2 linked regions of the Oryzias latipes genome follow. The protein of the gene in region 1 purifies or fractionates together with the protein of each later gene. This does not show direct contact. Links are inferred from orthologs where the notes say so. Each region holds a gene or a part of one and is shown in the gene's direction. Other genes may lie near its edges.

What was found.
Region 2: the proteins of eya4 (region 1) and dctpp1 purify together in Homo sapiens (affinity purification with mass spectrometry; 3 studies listed by BioGRID and IntAct, with this or other methods). This does not show direct contact. The link is inferred for Oryzias latipes from reciprocal best matches to the Homo sapiens genes EYA4 and DCTPP1.

The regions. Positions count from the first base shown.
Region 1 is NC_019882.2:14,109,974-14,117,746, reverse strand, and holds part of eya4 (eyes absent homolog 4), read left to right. Parts: intron 1-903; coding exon 904-953; intron 954-2,505; coding exon 2,506-2,627; intron 2,628-7,198; coding exon 7,199-7,282; intron 7,283-7,773. UniProt on the Homo sapiens protein: Tyrosine phosphatase that specifically dephosphorylates 'Tyr-142' of histone H2AX (H2AXY142ph). 'Tyr-142' phosphorylation of histone H2AX plays a central role in DNA repair and acts as a mark that distinguishes between apoptotic and repair responses to genotoxic stress.
Region 2 is NC_019859.2:19,226,074-19,233,390, forward strand, and holds dctpp1 (dCTP pyrophosphatase 1), read left to right. Parts: upstream 1-3,442; 5' UTR 3,443-3,566; coding exon 3,567-4,064; 3' UTR 4,065-4,515; downstream 4,516-7,317. Other genes in the region: gatb (glutamyl-tRNA(Gln) amidotransferase subunit B, mitochondrial), read right to left, coding at 1,522-1,635, 1,710-1,863, 3,182-3,327. UniProt on the Homo sapiens protein: Hydrolyzes deoxynucleoside triphosphates (dNTPs) to the corresponding nucleoside monophosphates. Has a strong preference for dCTP and its analogs including 5-iodo-dCTP and 5-methyl-dCTP for which it may even have a higher efficiency.

The DNA.
Region 1 (7,773 bases):
TACCTGCAGTTTTGTGTCTGCTTACTCAGGCACTTTGTCCACATACTTACCTGTGATTGCGATAATGTGGAGATGACTTGGATTTATGCCGCCTGGGTGGAATTGGCCGCGTGTGTGTGACTTGTATTTCCATGTACAAGCGCTTGTGTGTGCGTTTGGCAGCCCGCGCGTGCCCTTCGCCTCGACAGTGTGTTGACACAGTGATTATAGGGCAGCTGGTACACATTGGCCCTCACTCCGCCCTGCATTTACTGTTCTAATTAGTTCCTGTTCCAAATAAGAGTGAGGAATTTTAATAGATAACCACTGGTCCTGCTTCACACAGCCACACATGAAACTAGGCCGCTTGTGGGGAAAGTACCCTGCGGTGAAAAGGAACCAAGGCTGTGTTTTCCCAATTTTTTGAATTTCTTTTTTGATTGACAGAACCAAATGTCCCCCGCAAAGTCAAGTTTAGTCCCTGCAGGGGTGTGTTTAAGGGTGAACGCCATGGCCCTGCCGGGACCTTTCAACTTGCACAGGGTTAATAACGAGAATCCAGTTCAGGATAAAACGGGGTCACGATGGAAAGTTAATATCTGTCACTTAGATGCCAGTTAGCACTTCTGTCGTGTTGTTACTACGGTGATGGTGCCTTGATTTATCTTTTCGTTTTTTATAATAATTTTGATGCATACTTTACCTTCTGGTGATGCCTATGATGCAAGCATCAAACCACTTAAGCCCTAAAATTACCTTAATTTAGCATCTTCTTTTTCATAGCTGTAAATAAATTTAGGCTTCAAATGGGTAAAAATGCTTTGTCGTGTTTATGGGAATCATGTATGACATGTTTTGCGATACTTCTGAACTGCATGGGAGCTTGTGTGTGAAGTAACCTACTTTCCTCTTGTTTCTCTGCAGGTGAAGAAATCCCACAGTGAATCTCATGTTCCAGACCCCTCAGACGTCAGGTACACTCACACGTTTGCCGTGAGAAAGAAGGAAAAAAAAAAAAAAACGTTGACTTTTCAAAAGTGTGTGTTCGTGCAGCTATATGCGTGTCTCAGCTTTTCGGTCATGGTGCAGAGAGGTGAGGTTTCACTGCATTTGGAGCTGCAATAAGGTCATCGGTATTATCCCAAGACTTCAGTATCTGCACACATTTGCACACATACTCAGAAAAAAAGGTGAATCCTTATCATTTTTACAACTATAATTATAAAACAATATTTTTATTCTTTCTTTGTACTGTAAACTAAGGATTAAATTTAACAGATTTAATCTGTGAAAAAAAGCCCAGAATGTGACACTTTTCAGCAAAACATAGCTTATTTTTCAGCTGCTGGAGATAATGTAGAAACCAGAAAAGAGTTTATGAAACACCAACTCCTGCCATCACCTCCCGAGAGGAGCTAAACAGAGTAGGAGGAAGTGAGGAGGGGAGCGAGAATCATTTCCTGCTGCTGAAGGACAAAAAGAAAAGGATAAATGAAGAGTTGGTGAGAACATGAAAGGGAAACAGGCTCATCTCTAAAAGTTCCTGATGCCTTTACCAGGTTTTGCCAAATTTAATCGCTCAAAATGTGTATTTCCCAGAATAAATTCAGGATTTTGACTGAGATGTGACGAAAAGCAAAGCTTAACTTTAAAAAGGAGCAATCTGCGCCCTTTTTTTCCCTTTACAGTCTCATTGTGGCTTGGATTCATGTGTGGTGATGCCATCTGCCCCCCAGCGTGGAGATGTGCCGCTTCCACACAGATGTGCACTCCCTTCCACAGCAGCCCGCATTTGTTTAATTCTTCCTCCATCTCTGTCATTTCTGGCTTTGATATTTCGCATAAAAGCACTTGTGTGACCAAACCTGCAGGCGGCATGAGTCAGGACACACACGTTATGTTCACAACAAGGGCTGACTCAACATTAAAGTATGTCTTCTACTTAAGAACATGTTAATGTTGGGGTTTGTGGCAGGAGTGATTTATAAACTCTGGTTTTCCTGCTATGCACTTTTTGAAAACACTCTGAATGAGGGTCTTTGGCAGCGTGTGGAGATTTTTCTATTTAAACACCTTTTTTAATAAATAAATCTGCAGTAAAGATGTCTTTTTAGGTCCTCTTCCGTCTCCAATTATCACGCTAACACGCATTTTCCCTTCACCATCCGTGCCTTATGTGCCGAATTGTCCCATCATGCTTCTGGAACACGTTGTAAAACGGGGGGAGGGGGGGGGACGCTGGCAGGCTTTAGGTTTGTGTTGGACAGCGTAAGCACGCACGCTATCACTCCATAAAGAAACCAGCAGGTCCACAGACAATCCATAGCGCCTCTGAACACATGCTCATGTCAGCAAACTGCCGCGGAATATGAGGACGTTTATGACCATCCATCCCTGTGCATGTGCTGCTTGTGCTCAGTGGGATACCCACACTAAACGGGAGAGTGATCACCGCTGAGGAAGAGCTGTTCTTTCAGAAACCACGCCTCATCTCACCCCCTTCCCTTCCGTCCTCGCCATTGTCAGGTCTATGGAAATGCAGGACCTAGCCAGTCCTCATAACCGAGTTGGAGGTGGTGATTCAACAGGCTCCAAACTGGACAAGAGCAACCTGGAAAGCCCTTCCATCACCAGCAATGGAACAGGAGGTGAGAAGTATTATAAAAACATCAAGAATACTATGAAGAATTTCCTTAATCTTCATGATATATATGAAACATTTTATACTTTACCTAATCTTGAACCTTGACCTCGCTGCAAGTGAAAAAAGAGGAGAAAACTAAAGCTGGAATCATTTAAGTTCCCCTTTAATTTTGCTGAGATGGTCAAAACATTATGATTCCAGTGCCCACCATGACCTCAAGGCATTTTTTTTATTGATCGTCCTTTAAATTCTGTAAAGAGAAACCGAAAATACAACCTTTTTTAAACATGCTAATGCATTGTTGTTCATATTCGGAACCACTTTTAAATTCCCAGATTACCCAGCATTTTTTTGGACTTTACCTCTATGAGCACAAACAGGACAAAGTTATGCTCAGCCTCAAATGTACAAGATGTATATTTGAATAAACCCCTTTTTTAATTTAGACTAACCTTATTTATATTAATTATATTTGTAACCGTTGTTTGTTGGACCGGATGGAAAAGAAGAAGACAGAGAGAGAGAGAGATATTGGGGGGGGGGGGGGGGGGGGGGGATTATAGAAGCGGGGGGGGGGGGTTAAATCATAAAGCATCATAAAGCAACAAGTTACTGGAAGTTTCTAATAACTACTATCAGGTTTAGCTGTGTAGCAGATCTAAAATGGGCGGTTCTGTCCACACACACTCAAATGTTACAAAAATACCTGTTGGCTCCAAAAATCTTCACATACAAACATGTCAACATGTACACAATACAACTACCATTCACACATCCATACTTATGCATTCAGACTAACAAGTGTGAAACATTTCATTCAGTCACACAAACTATTTGTGCGAAGATAAGCTAACACCTGTGCTCGAGTGAGTGTTATGTTCTGCTGGGGTGAGTGATGAAATGTAAAAAAAAAGGAGCCCCCAATACCAGAGAGCAGGGGGGCACAGGTGAGCACAGCCCAACCAGAAGAGCAGCCCCCTGCCACACCCGGGGGACCAAACGTGTGGTCCCACCCCGGGAGAGCACCCCCAGCCCCAGACGAGCAGCCCACCACCACCCAGTAGTTCTGAGCACCCCCCTAACAAACCCAGGCACGAGCCAGGGTTCCCCAAAAGAGACCCGCCCCATGTTCCAGGCAGCCACCCACCCAGCCCACGGGAGGTCCAGGAGAGAGCAAAGCAGGGGCCACCCACTCTCGCCCAGGAGGAGGACGCCCAAGAGAAGTGGGGGTCCCCATGGAGTGTTGTAAACATGGCCTGACCAGGTTCACCCACTGTTGGAATTTTGGGCAAGAACCAGAACCCTGACCACAGGGACACGGACACCCCCTGGGTCAGATGTGTTGTGATCCCCGGCCTTGGTCTTATTACAATTTTAAACGAAGTACTCACAACTTTATATTGATGGAAATAATCCTCTATCTTAATGTATCTGCAGTTGGGCAGGATAATCAAGAGGCTTTAGGCCTGCAGAAATGAAGTAAAATTGATAGACAGACTATGGCTTATAAAACAAAAAAAGAAGAAGAAAAGACACTTCCGTGTAACCCTTGTGCTATCCTATGGGGTCAAGATGACCAGTGACATGTTATTCCTACCATGATAAAGGTGGATAAAGGTGGAGAGCATATAATCCATGGACACCCACCAGTGAAGATCACAAATCATTGAAGAAAAAAGGTTCAGCGCACTGTCTTGTGGGGTCTAGATGGCTCCATTCCCAATGTTAAAGTGCCTAGGATAGCACAAGGGTTAAATAGAATTGTCATTCAGTTTATTGTGTGTCAGAATGTTTGTATTTAAGCCCAAAACCTCTCAGGCAACTATTTTCTTTACAACAGCATTGAAGAATAACTGCTCTCTTATGTGTCAACGTCAGCTAGCCCTTTTGCTCTTTTCTGTCATTGCCCGGCTTGTTTTTCTTCCCTGTCCATACTTTGTCTGTTTCATTTTCCTTCTCCCCATCTTTTCTTCCCATCTGTCTCTTTCCATCCATCAATTCTTCATTCTTAATTGTCTCAGAGCCAATTTTGGCAGGGCACCAGGACGTAATAGCCCTGAATGTGGTGATTCTGTTCAGGGCAATTCTTTGATCTGCTGTTGCTTCAACGGGCAACGGAAAGCTTTTTAAGGCATAATGTGATGGAAAAAGTGAGCTGTGGCATTTTAGTCATCTTGATGTGTCAACAGTCAACCTTTGAGTGAAAAAAAACAACCAATTCCAACCCTGTTAGAGCCGTTAAATCCATTTTGATGAGCTCACAGTTAATGGTTTAAGCAGGCAAAGCCAGGCGTACACACAAAGCCAAAATAAACTACATACCCAACATTCCTGTTACCTTACATCAGCCAACACTCAGACCCACCATTTCCACAGAAACTGATTCATACTTATATTTTTCTCCTTTAGGAGAATGATGAAGATGTTCTGAGTTAAATGAGGTTTTGATACTGTGATGAAGTTTAATCAGATGCACAGAAACTATCTGGAAAGCTAATACAGAATATATCGAGGTTTTTTAACAAGTGGACTAATGCTTTGATCACTATCATTGTTAAGTTTTTTTTCATGGTATTTATTACACTAATTCATTAACTTTCAGTTGTAGTTTTACCAAGAGAAACTTAGGTTTTCACCTCCTGTTTCCAGTTACTCAAAAACATAGTTTTATTTAGCCTGAGGATTGGACAAAAAGTGAAAGGAAAAGGCAGCTAAACTGGTTCAAAACCAACATGACAGAATGTCAGATAAGCTCAAAATAATTTGTAACTGTGCCGTTAATTTCAAATTAAAAAATATTTTTCTATTGTAAGAAAATCTCCACAAAAGGGGTTCAGTTATGGAATAACTGCAGAGAAAACATCAAAAATTGATAATCCATAATAAATACAATGCAATTATAAAGGGTGATGTATTGTATACATATAAAGGAGTCAACAACATTTATTACTATTTTTTTTCTTTCCAAAATTAATTGTTTTCATACGTTAAACTTCATCCAAAGTCTTTTTTAAACTTTGCATACTGTCATCATTATATGTCTGTTTCTGGTGTTTATTTGTTTATTTTATCCGTTCAAAATAAAAATAAAATAAAAACTACATATTTGGGCCTCCAGGTGATATATAGGCACTGAGCAAACAAACAAAAGCAATTTGGGAGACAGTTCAGGAATTTACGATTTAAGAAGCTGTTTTTGGCAGAAATTTGAGCCTACACATTTAAAAATAGCCTATTTGAAATGTTTAAAATGTATTATTTTATTATATTGATTTAACGAAAGCAGAATATGTGATGATGTGGCCCCATCATATCAGCAAATTACAAACAAGTTATCTAATTCCCACAATGTTTGTTGCCAGATACTTATGATAATGTATTTATTGTAAGATCCTTTGACTTAAAAAACATTTGAATGAGCAAGAGTTACCATAAGTTTGATAGAATGTGTGGTTCAAGTGTAATAAACAGTCTATGAACAGTCCTTGTGAAAACTGTTGAGTGTAAGCAAAGAACATATCACAGGTTTTTCTCCACAGCAAATGTACTGAAATGATCTCAAATCCAACTAAATGATGGGATTTAGACACATTTGCTGTATATGAACACCTACCATTAATAATATATATTTTCTTTGCACAGATGGTCAAACAATTGTTTACATCTGAATTGAAATAGGCTAATTATTGTTTAAAAAATGCATCTTGCAGTTCAGCTAATGCAAGACATCTTAGCGCATTTTTCCAATAACAATTTTTAACTTTCCGTTAAACATTTTATTAATCCATTTGACTGGAGTGTAAGAACAGTCACTGCATGACTACTTCCTTATGTGTGACTTAAGTAATGCCAGGGGTCTGCAACTTTTAACGTGGAAAGAGCCATTTGGGTTAGTATGCTTTTGTGACCATTAGGCCACTAATTATTAAAATGTAGCTGTGAAATATTTACGATAATTTACTTACAACTGTATTTACTTTTGACAGCTACATACAAGTTCCTTTCAAAATAAAATTCACCCAAGATCCTCCTGCTGTAGCAGATTTTTTTAAAAATGCATGAAAGCCAAATGGTAAATGGCATTTTCTATCACAACAACTTCATCCTTTTTCTCTTCTTACTATCAGTTATAATTATGACAACTTTGAAGTAGATTTTCAATGAAAAAATGTTAAGATCATTGCTAATATATACTTTAGGGGCTTTACCTCTGAGCAGCAACACTGTTGTGCAGCAGAAGATCAGAAAATGTGCTTTAAGCTTATCTAATAATAAACCGCTCTGACAGTAGATTAAGCCTTTTACCATCGTGATGCAGTTATCTGGCGTGTTGAAAATCTAGAAAAAAAAAAAAAATTCAATAAATAGTATTTTTCTTAAAAGATAAGGAGACACAGTGGATGGTGTTGCATGTGGCTCTGGAGTCTCAGGTTGCAGACCCCTGAGTTATGTGAATGTTTTGTCTTTCAGAGTTGATATTACTATGTGGCAATTCAAGGGGTTCATCTGAGATTGCAGTGGCAGGTTCTTAGTTCAATGTTTCTTCACACCCCTCCCACCTTGCACCCTCCATAGGTGAAAACATGACTGTTCTAAACACGGCTGATTGGCTGTTAGGCTGCAGCAGTCCGTCCCCTGCCTCCAGTTCCAAGGACTATGGTACAGAGGTGCATGTGTGTGAATTCAGTGGGCACACAATGTTACATTAAACGGAAAGGCAATGGCTTTAAAGCAGACTTTTCTTTTTGTCTCCCCTTGCTGTGATTTGTTTTCATTTGCTGTGAGGTTTTCCCTCCTTTTCACATCCCATTGTGAATTTGCTACAGTGTGTGTGGTCTGCTTAAACACAGTATACACATGGTTCCCTGTCAACGTGTTAAAAATGATGAACTTGCAGCATGTTTAAGGGAGGTTTTCCAGAGGTTCACAATGCATGATTACTTTTTTAAAATCAGTCATCACACTTTATGGTTTTTATACTTTTCCTGAGAGTAAAAAAATCACAAGAAAAAGCCAAGGAGCCATAAAATCTGAAAGCCATGTGGAGTTTCATCAGATGGGAGGGCTGCACACATTTTCTTCACAGGCAGGGAGGTGCATGGTAGTTTTGTGCTTTTTGCCAGTGTTATTATTCCTTTTCTTTGGTGTGT
Region 2 (7,317 bases), on another chromosome or scaffold:
CAAAAAAATAAATAAATAAAAGCAGTTGGATACAGCTTGTGTTTGTGACGTAGAAAAAATGCTGGGCGGGCCACGAGCTCCCTGCTCCGCTCCATTCCGATGCCTTATTTGTAGACAAAAGGGGGAGGGGGAGGGGATGGGGTTGGTTCCGCCCACAACTCAAAGGCAAATTTTTTAATGAACTTCAGAAAATATGTCCAAAAAAACGACACAGGTTGTCGAGTTGGACTAAAAACTTCATAATCATAATTAAAAGACCACTGGGAACGCTTTGAAACAGATCAAAAGATGATCAGAGAGAGACTTTAAACATTATTTTTAATGTCAAATTTCACTTGTGTAGTTTCAAGCTGATGTGGTTGCTTCACTAAAAGAGGATTGCAAACAGTAAAGCAGTCATATCACCGATATTACTATACAAATTACAGATATTACAATAGTATTACTATACATATTACTATAGTAATATCTGTGATATATATGATATTTAAAGGCAATCTGCCAAAACCTCTGTCCAAACAATGTTTTTTCATGTCACTTAGAAACTGAAGGTAAAAGATATTAAAAAATTTTTTTTAATATTTGGATTTAATGTGATTGTTTTCCAATATTGTGTCTTTCTAATTTATAAAGATATATACTTTTATGTAGAAACTCTTTAAGGCTAAAAACTACTTATATTTGTCACCAAAAGAAAGAGGATCAACATTCACCCTCTACTTATGCAAACAAGTCAGAAAAATGTTTCATCATATTTTCTACTTTTGGTTCACAGAAGCCTTTAGTTGGACAAAAAAAAAACGAGTGGCAGCAAATAAACAATGAGCCCTGCCACAACGATGTACGCATGCACATTATTGCTTTGAAGAAAAAGTGAGATTGTGGAAATACATGCTTGTTTATTGAAAATCTTTCTAAATGTATTGATATTTTTTCCATTTCTATAAACTCTTCATCTAAAAGCACAGCTTGCATTTCCAATTTACTTAAGCAAAAGGACAATTTCTTTATAGAAAAATCAAATTTTCTAATGCTTTTTCTCAGCAACTTTTTTAATCTGATTTTGTCTAATCCTGAGTTTTAAACCAAGTTCTTCATAACTGAACCCTTTACCTGATTATGTTACACTTTAGATCGTCATTTTACCTCCCAGGAGACTGTGGAAATGGAAATGCAGCTTGAATGAAGCCTCCTGGTTTTTTTATAAAGAGTTTTGCCAAATTAAAAAAAGAAAATTCCATTCTGTCATTTATAACAGGAACCAACAGTCACACAAACATCTGCAAGTAAATTTTTGTTGAGCCGCTGTGAGATTTGATCCATTACAGATTCAAAACTAAAAAAAAGTGACCTGCACATAAAGCAGATTTAGAATTTTATAGAATTGTCACTGTGAGATAAACCATATAAAAGTAAAAGCATCATAAAGTCAACACAGGTGGTGTCTCCACCCAGCAAACTGCCACCTGCTGAATCAAAAGGATGCTGTCCATCAGAGGACTGAGAGGGGGGGACACTCACCGGAAGGTCAGCATAGAAGTAGTGTTTCCTGTCAAAATACGACTTCTTATTTATGGTGCAGTTGAGAGCCAATCCGGTCATCACTGCAGCTTCAACACATCGCCTGTTCAGCATCTGGAGACGCAGAAATGCATCAATTTAGAAAAAAACCCCAGTAAGCCTGAGTTTTGTACTGGAGAATCACTCACAGGTAATGTGCCGGGTAAAGACGCATCAAAAAATGAAACCAGGGAGTTGGGAGGAGCTGAGAAGCGAACTGGAGAACCAGAGAACAGCTTGGTGTTGGAGTTAATCTGGGCGTGAACTTCCAGGCCGACCACTCCAACCAGCTGCTGGGAGGCACTGGAAGCAAAGAAGCCAGAACCATGAGACGGGGTTCTGAGGAGAAGGCTGTGCAGCTGGAAAACTTTAGAAAGCAACTTCTGTCAGACTGACAAAGAAAAATGTATTATTTCATTTATAAAGTCTAAAAACCACAGTTGTTTTCCTGAACTCAGTTATAAAAACACAAATGTGTGTTTATGCAAGTAAAACCTGAAGAAGTGAACAGAAGATTATTGGTTTGTGTGGAAACAGTTAACAATACAGAAATAACACTGCAGAATCGAACAAAAATATCAGCTCATTTTCAAAGTACTGACTTGGAGTCTGATGAATTTTTGTGCTGACATTAACATTAAAGCAAATGTTTCTGAGAGCAAATAAAAAGTTTAAAAACTTGACATTTTTTTTCTCTTTTGGTAAATTCTGTGAAGCAGAAAGATGACGAGTCATGATTATATTTTTACAGCACACAATCATCAGAGTTCATCAATAGGGTAGGAAATTAACAATTTCCATTTAGACATTCATTTGGAATTTGGAAAAAAGCATTAAAAATGTTTTTTTAATGAATGAAACTAAAACTAAACTAAAAGACCGAAGCGATAAATAATGCTGAACATCTCATGGGCTCTTGAAATAGTGTCAGCAGGAAAAAGGGGTAGAAATGTGTGCAAAAAGGCATTAATGATGGAGAATTTAAAAAATATATATATATTTATTTCAATTGAGTGTTGTCTTTTCCTTTTTAAAATTTTTTATAATAACTTCCAGAAATAAATTCACAAGTAACTAGTTATGATAGGACTTATTTTTGTTTGAAACTTGCCTAAAATGTTGTACAGTAGAAGTACAATGTTTACCATGTCAACAGAAATAAAACTAGGAAAATAAGACACATTTGTCCGTGCTTGAATAAAGTCTTTTAGCTTGTGATTCAAACAAACAGCAGTCTAAAAACCTTAAAAACTAACAGGTAACTTGTTTTTCCATTGAATTTTAAACATTTTGAAGACAAGTGAATAATAAGGAACTGAATGGCAGATCCTCATCCTGACACAACATATTTTTACACAAACATTTCTAGTTTAGTTTAATTTTGAAAAAAAGTGGGTTTATAGTTAGCAGTGCCTTTTAAATGGTCCGTAGAAACTACAACAACGGTCAACGACATTTACAGTAAAAGCCAAAATAATAGCATACCGACATTGTTTAGCTCCTATGCGGTGTCTAAATACAAGAGCACCTGAACGCAGCAGGGGTTATGTGCGCTGTGTTCAGGTTCACATCTCCTGAAACAGTTAGAAAATAAATACTTAACGTTAATGTCCGGCTTTACCTCTTTGTTCTCGGTTCAGGTTGTTTATCATAGTGTGGTCTTGAAGTACTGATTTTTCGGAATAAACACAAAGCTTTCGGATACCGTGTTGATATTTGTTTTATGTTAAGAAATATTTCATTTGCTGTTACACGAGAAGCAGCCATGTTTGCAGTGAAGTGTTAAAGGATGATGGAATTTGTAGTTCCATTAATTAGTCCGTGATATCTGCTTCAACGCCGCTGTTCGTCTAAGCAACTACAAGGTCCAGTTTCCGAAGGATTTCGACTTCCTGTTTTACTCGACGTCATTTCCGTTTTCTTAGCTGGCGGGACTTCTCCACATGTTGAAAGAGGGGCTGTGTCGGGTTAGAGATCTATAAGTTGTGTGAGAAAAATACAAGAAGATGATGGCAGCAAACGAAAAAGTGGAATCTCTGTTTCTAAATGGCGGTTGTGAAGAATCTGATCATGGCGCCGCCTCATCTCACTCGACAGCGCACAACTCGAAAACAGAGCAGCCGCAGAGGTTCACCTTCAGTCCAGAGCCCACCATGGAAGACATTCGGAGGATGCAGGCAGAGTTCACGGACGAGCGTGACTGGAACCAGTTCCACCAGCCCCGGAACCTGCTTCTCGCCATGGTGGGAGAGGTGGGGGAGGTATCGGAGCTATTTCAGTGGCGCGGGGAGGTGGCCGAGGGCCTGCCGGGCTGGACAGAGTCTGAGCGGGAGCAGCTGGCTCACGAGCTCAGTGACGTCATGATCTACCTGGTGGAGCTCGCCGAGAAGTGTCGCGTGGATCTCCCGCAAGCGGTGCTGCGCAAAATGGCCCTCAACAAACTCAAATATCCCGCAAGTAAAGTCCACGGGTCGGCCAAAAAGTACACGGAGTACAAGGACTGAGCTGGTTGGTGGAGGCCAGAGACTGTTGCTGCTAAACCTTTTTTTGTTCTCCGTCACAGTGATATTTCTTTCAATGCTGACGCCTTTTGTCTACTCAGTTTTACATCTGAGGTCAACCTAAAAAAAAGACCAACGGGATTTTATTTTGAAAATTATCTGTTTTTATTAGGAATTATTTTTCTTACAGAGTTGGTTATTTTTTATGTATTTGGAAGAGCCCATTTTCCCTTGAACATCTAACGTCTAAGGCTCTTTATAATGCAGAAGTGACAGTGGGGAGAAAAAATGGGGTGCCAAATCCGTTGTACTTGTCTTGTGAAAAGCACAGAACAACAATGAAAAGGCTTTTACCTTTTGTTTATTCCCCTAATTATCATTTTGAATTCCATGTCTTTTCTGTTCAAGTGTTACACAAAACTGCCTGAAGTAAAAAAGAATGGTTGAAGTTTGACTTGTGTGTTTCATTCTTTCAGTTATTTGATGGCAGGAGCAAAAAAATTCAAGCTCTCACAGAAATCTGATCTGAACTGAGATTACATTAAAAACTCCTTTAGTTTAGTTGTACTCTTAATTTTTGGGGAAACTTTAAATGGACTCTGTAACATGTGACACATTCACTTATCAACATACTAGTTAAAATAATTAGCCAAGATCAAATTACTTAAATACAGTACTAGTCTTGAATGTATTTGTTTGGTGAGAAGGGCCACAGAGAAATTGGTTTCCCCAAATCTGTTATTCTAACAAGACAAACCCCTCTAATATGAAACAATCATTTTCCTGTTTACTTGCATATCTATAATTTGAGAAAAAATTAAATGTTTCTATGCTTCTTAAAACGTGCTAAATGAAATACAGCTATGTGTGAACAGATGTTGAAGTAATGCTATAGTAAGAAAACATTTTTTTGAACTTTTCAGAGCACAAAGAGCCATGAGCCTGATGAAAGCAGTCAAAAGAGGAGACATTCTTTTTATTTATTATTTGTAGGTGATGCATGAACAAACTGCCTTCAAATTGAACAGGGTTATTTAGGTCAGAGGTCTGCAACCTTAAACACAAAGAAAAAAAAATCAATTTGGGCCAGATTCTTACTAACCAAAAACCTGGAAGGGCCACAAAGTCTAATTTCACTGCTTAGAAAAATACCCTGTGCCTGTCTCCTGCCCGGATAAAGTCCAGGGTTGTATCAAGAAGGGCATCTGGCATAAAAATGTCTGCCATACCACCTTCATAACTCAGTGGAGGCTGACTCGCTGTGGTGACCCCTCTGTGGACTCCATGTGCCTAAAGGTGAACAACAATATTTATGTTTTAGTGATCATTTAGAAATGTATCTCTTGAATATTTATAATCATCAAGTTTGTTATATGCAACTATTTCATTTTTTTTTTACTTTTGAAAGCAGTTTATACAAGTTCCTTTTGAAATACAACAAAAATACAACCCATGTCAAAGAAGAACCTCCTGTAGCAGATTCACTTGAAATAAAAATGTAAGAAACTTATTCTGATAATAACTAGCTGTGACAGTAGATTAAATTGTTTACCATGATTTTGATGTGTGGATTATGGAAGAGTGGTAAAACACACCAATCCATCCTAATGTAGTGTAATTTCAACAGTGATGGAAGAACAAACAAACATGAAATCTGAACATTAAAAACAAAAACTTAATTAAAAGTAAAGCAGCATGCCGCATTGTATGGCTTGCAAGTGCTATCCGCCCTGCACTCACACCCCACTCTCTTTCCATCCCTGCCCTCCCCCACCCCAAAGCACACCCTTTCTGTGAGCCCTTATTGGCTAAGCAGTGGCTTCATGCCACTTGTTACAACATGGACCAAAAAGGAGATGTGTGATGTAGGCCCTGTAAGGCTTAAACTAAAAAAACAAAACAAAACAGTGGCCTGTTGTTGGATAAGTTGCAGTTTCTGTGTGTAATATTTGGGTGACATCTGGCCTTGATAGGGTTTGCTTTAGGCCCACATCCGGCTACAGGAGCAGGCCACCTAAGTGCCGTCATGTGGGCCCAGTATGGGCCAGAACTGGAATATTCACTGGTCTTTTTTTGGCCCAGTTACGGTTGTGGGTAAGATGTGGCTGACATCTGGCCTTGCTGTGGTGTGCATTAGTCCCAGATTTAGCAGTCAAATGTTGGGTCAAATATGTGCAAGAACAAAAACAAATGGTGACCCTTTGATGGGCTACTTGTGATCTCTGTGGGTAATATTTGAACAGAATTTTTAGCAACATTTTTTTGTTTCCCACGCCCAATTTCCTAATACAGTTATATCATATGTTATTATCGTTTTGTTCAGCTTGAGCCAGGGAATCATGTTTTGGATTTTCATGACATTCCGATAAAAAAGAGTTTGCTAAGATCACAACAGTTGTGAACTCGCCACACGCATGCTGTTCGAAATCTACAAATTCTAATTCCAACATTTTTTCCACAGTAGTTTCTGAATGATGCTCAAGAAGTTAGGAGACAATCAATGAAAATCACCAGGACGAGTTTTCATTTATAGCTAAAGATTTTTTTTTAAGTTCCAGATGGCGGCCTCTTCCCCAGGTCAAAGGTCAAGACGTAACCCTTGTGCTATCCTAGGCACTTTAACATTAGGAGTTGGGTCATCTAGACCCACTAGACAGTGCTCTGAACAATTTTTCTTCAATCATTTGTGATCTTCACTGGTGTCCATGGATTACATGAAATCTTTTCACCTTTATCCACCTTTGTCATGGTAGGGAGAACACGTCAAAGTTAGGGTGGGGTCATCTAAGATAGCGCAAGGGTTAAGCTGGCGGCATGTGTAAGAAATTTTGTGAAGATTAAACAAACTAGTTTCCTTTTCCTATATTGGGGGAATATGAGTGTGATAGCTCTACACCAAAATGTCCTAATAGGCAAAAGTTCATGTCAAACATGACGGTAGACTGTTGGGCATGAACCTCTGTTGCTATATAGGTACTAAATATTGCTGAACAAGCTGGAGTAAAGAATACTTTTAGTTCAGATCATGCCACACTTTCATTTTTACATAGTTCTGATTACAGAGCTGTAGATTTGCTGTAAGTCCTCCCCTGTACATCCCAAACGTTTCCAAGGTCCTCATTCTTTTCTCAAAAAGTCCATTTTTATTGTTTTCTATCAACTCTCACCACATGTGATGTCCTGAATTGACAGAAGAGCCTTTGCTAAAAAATTAAACCTACTGCTTTTTATGAAAACGAACAAGCTGAGGGATTAC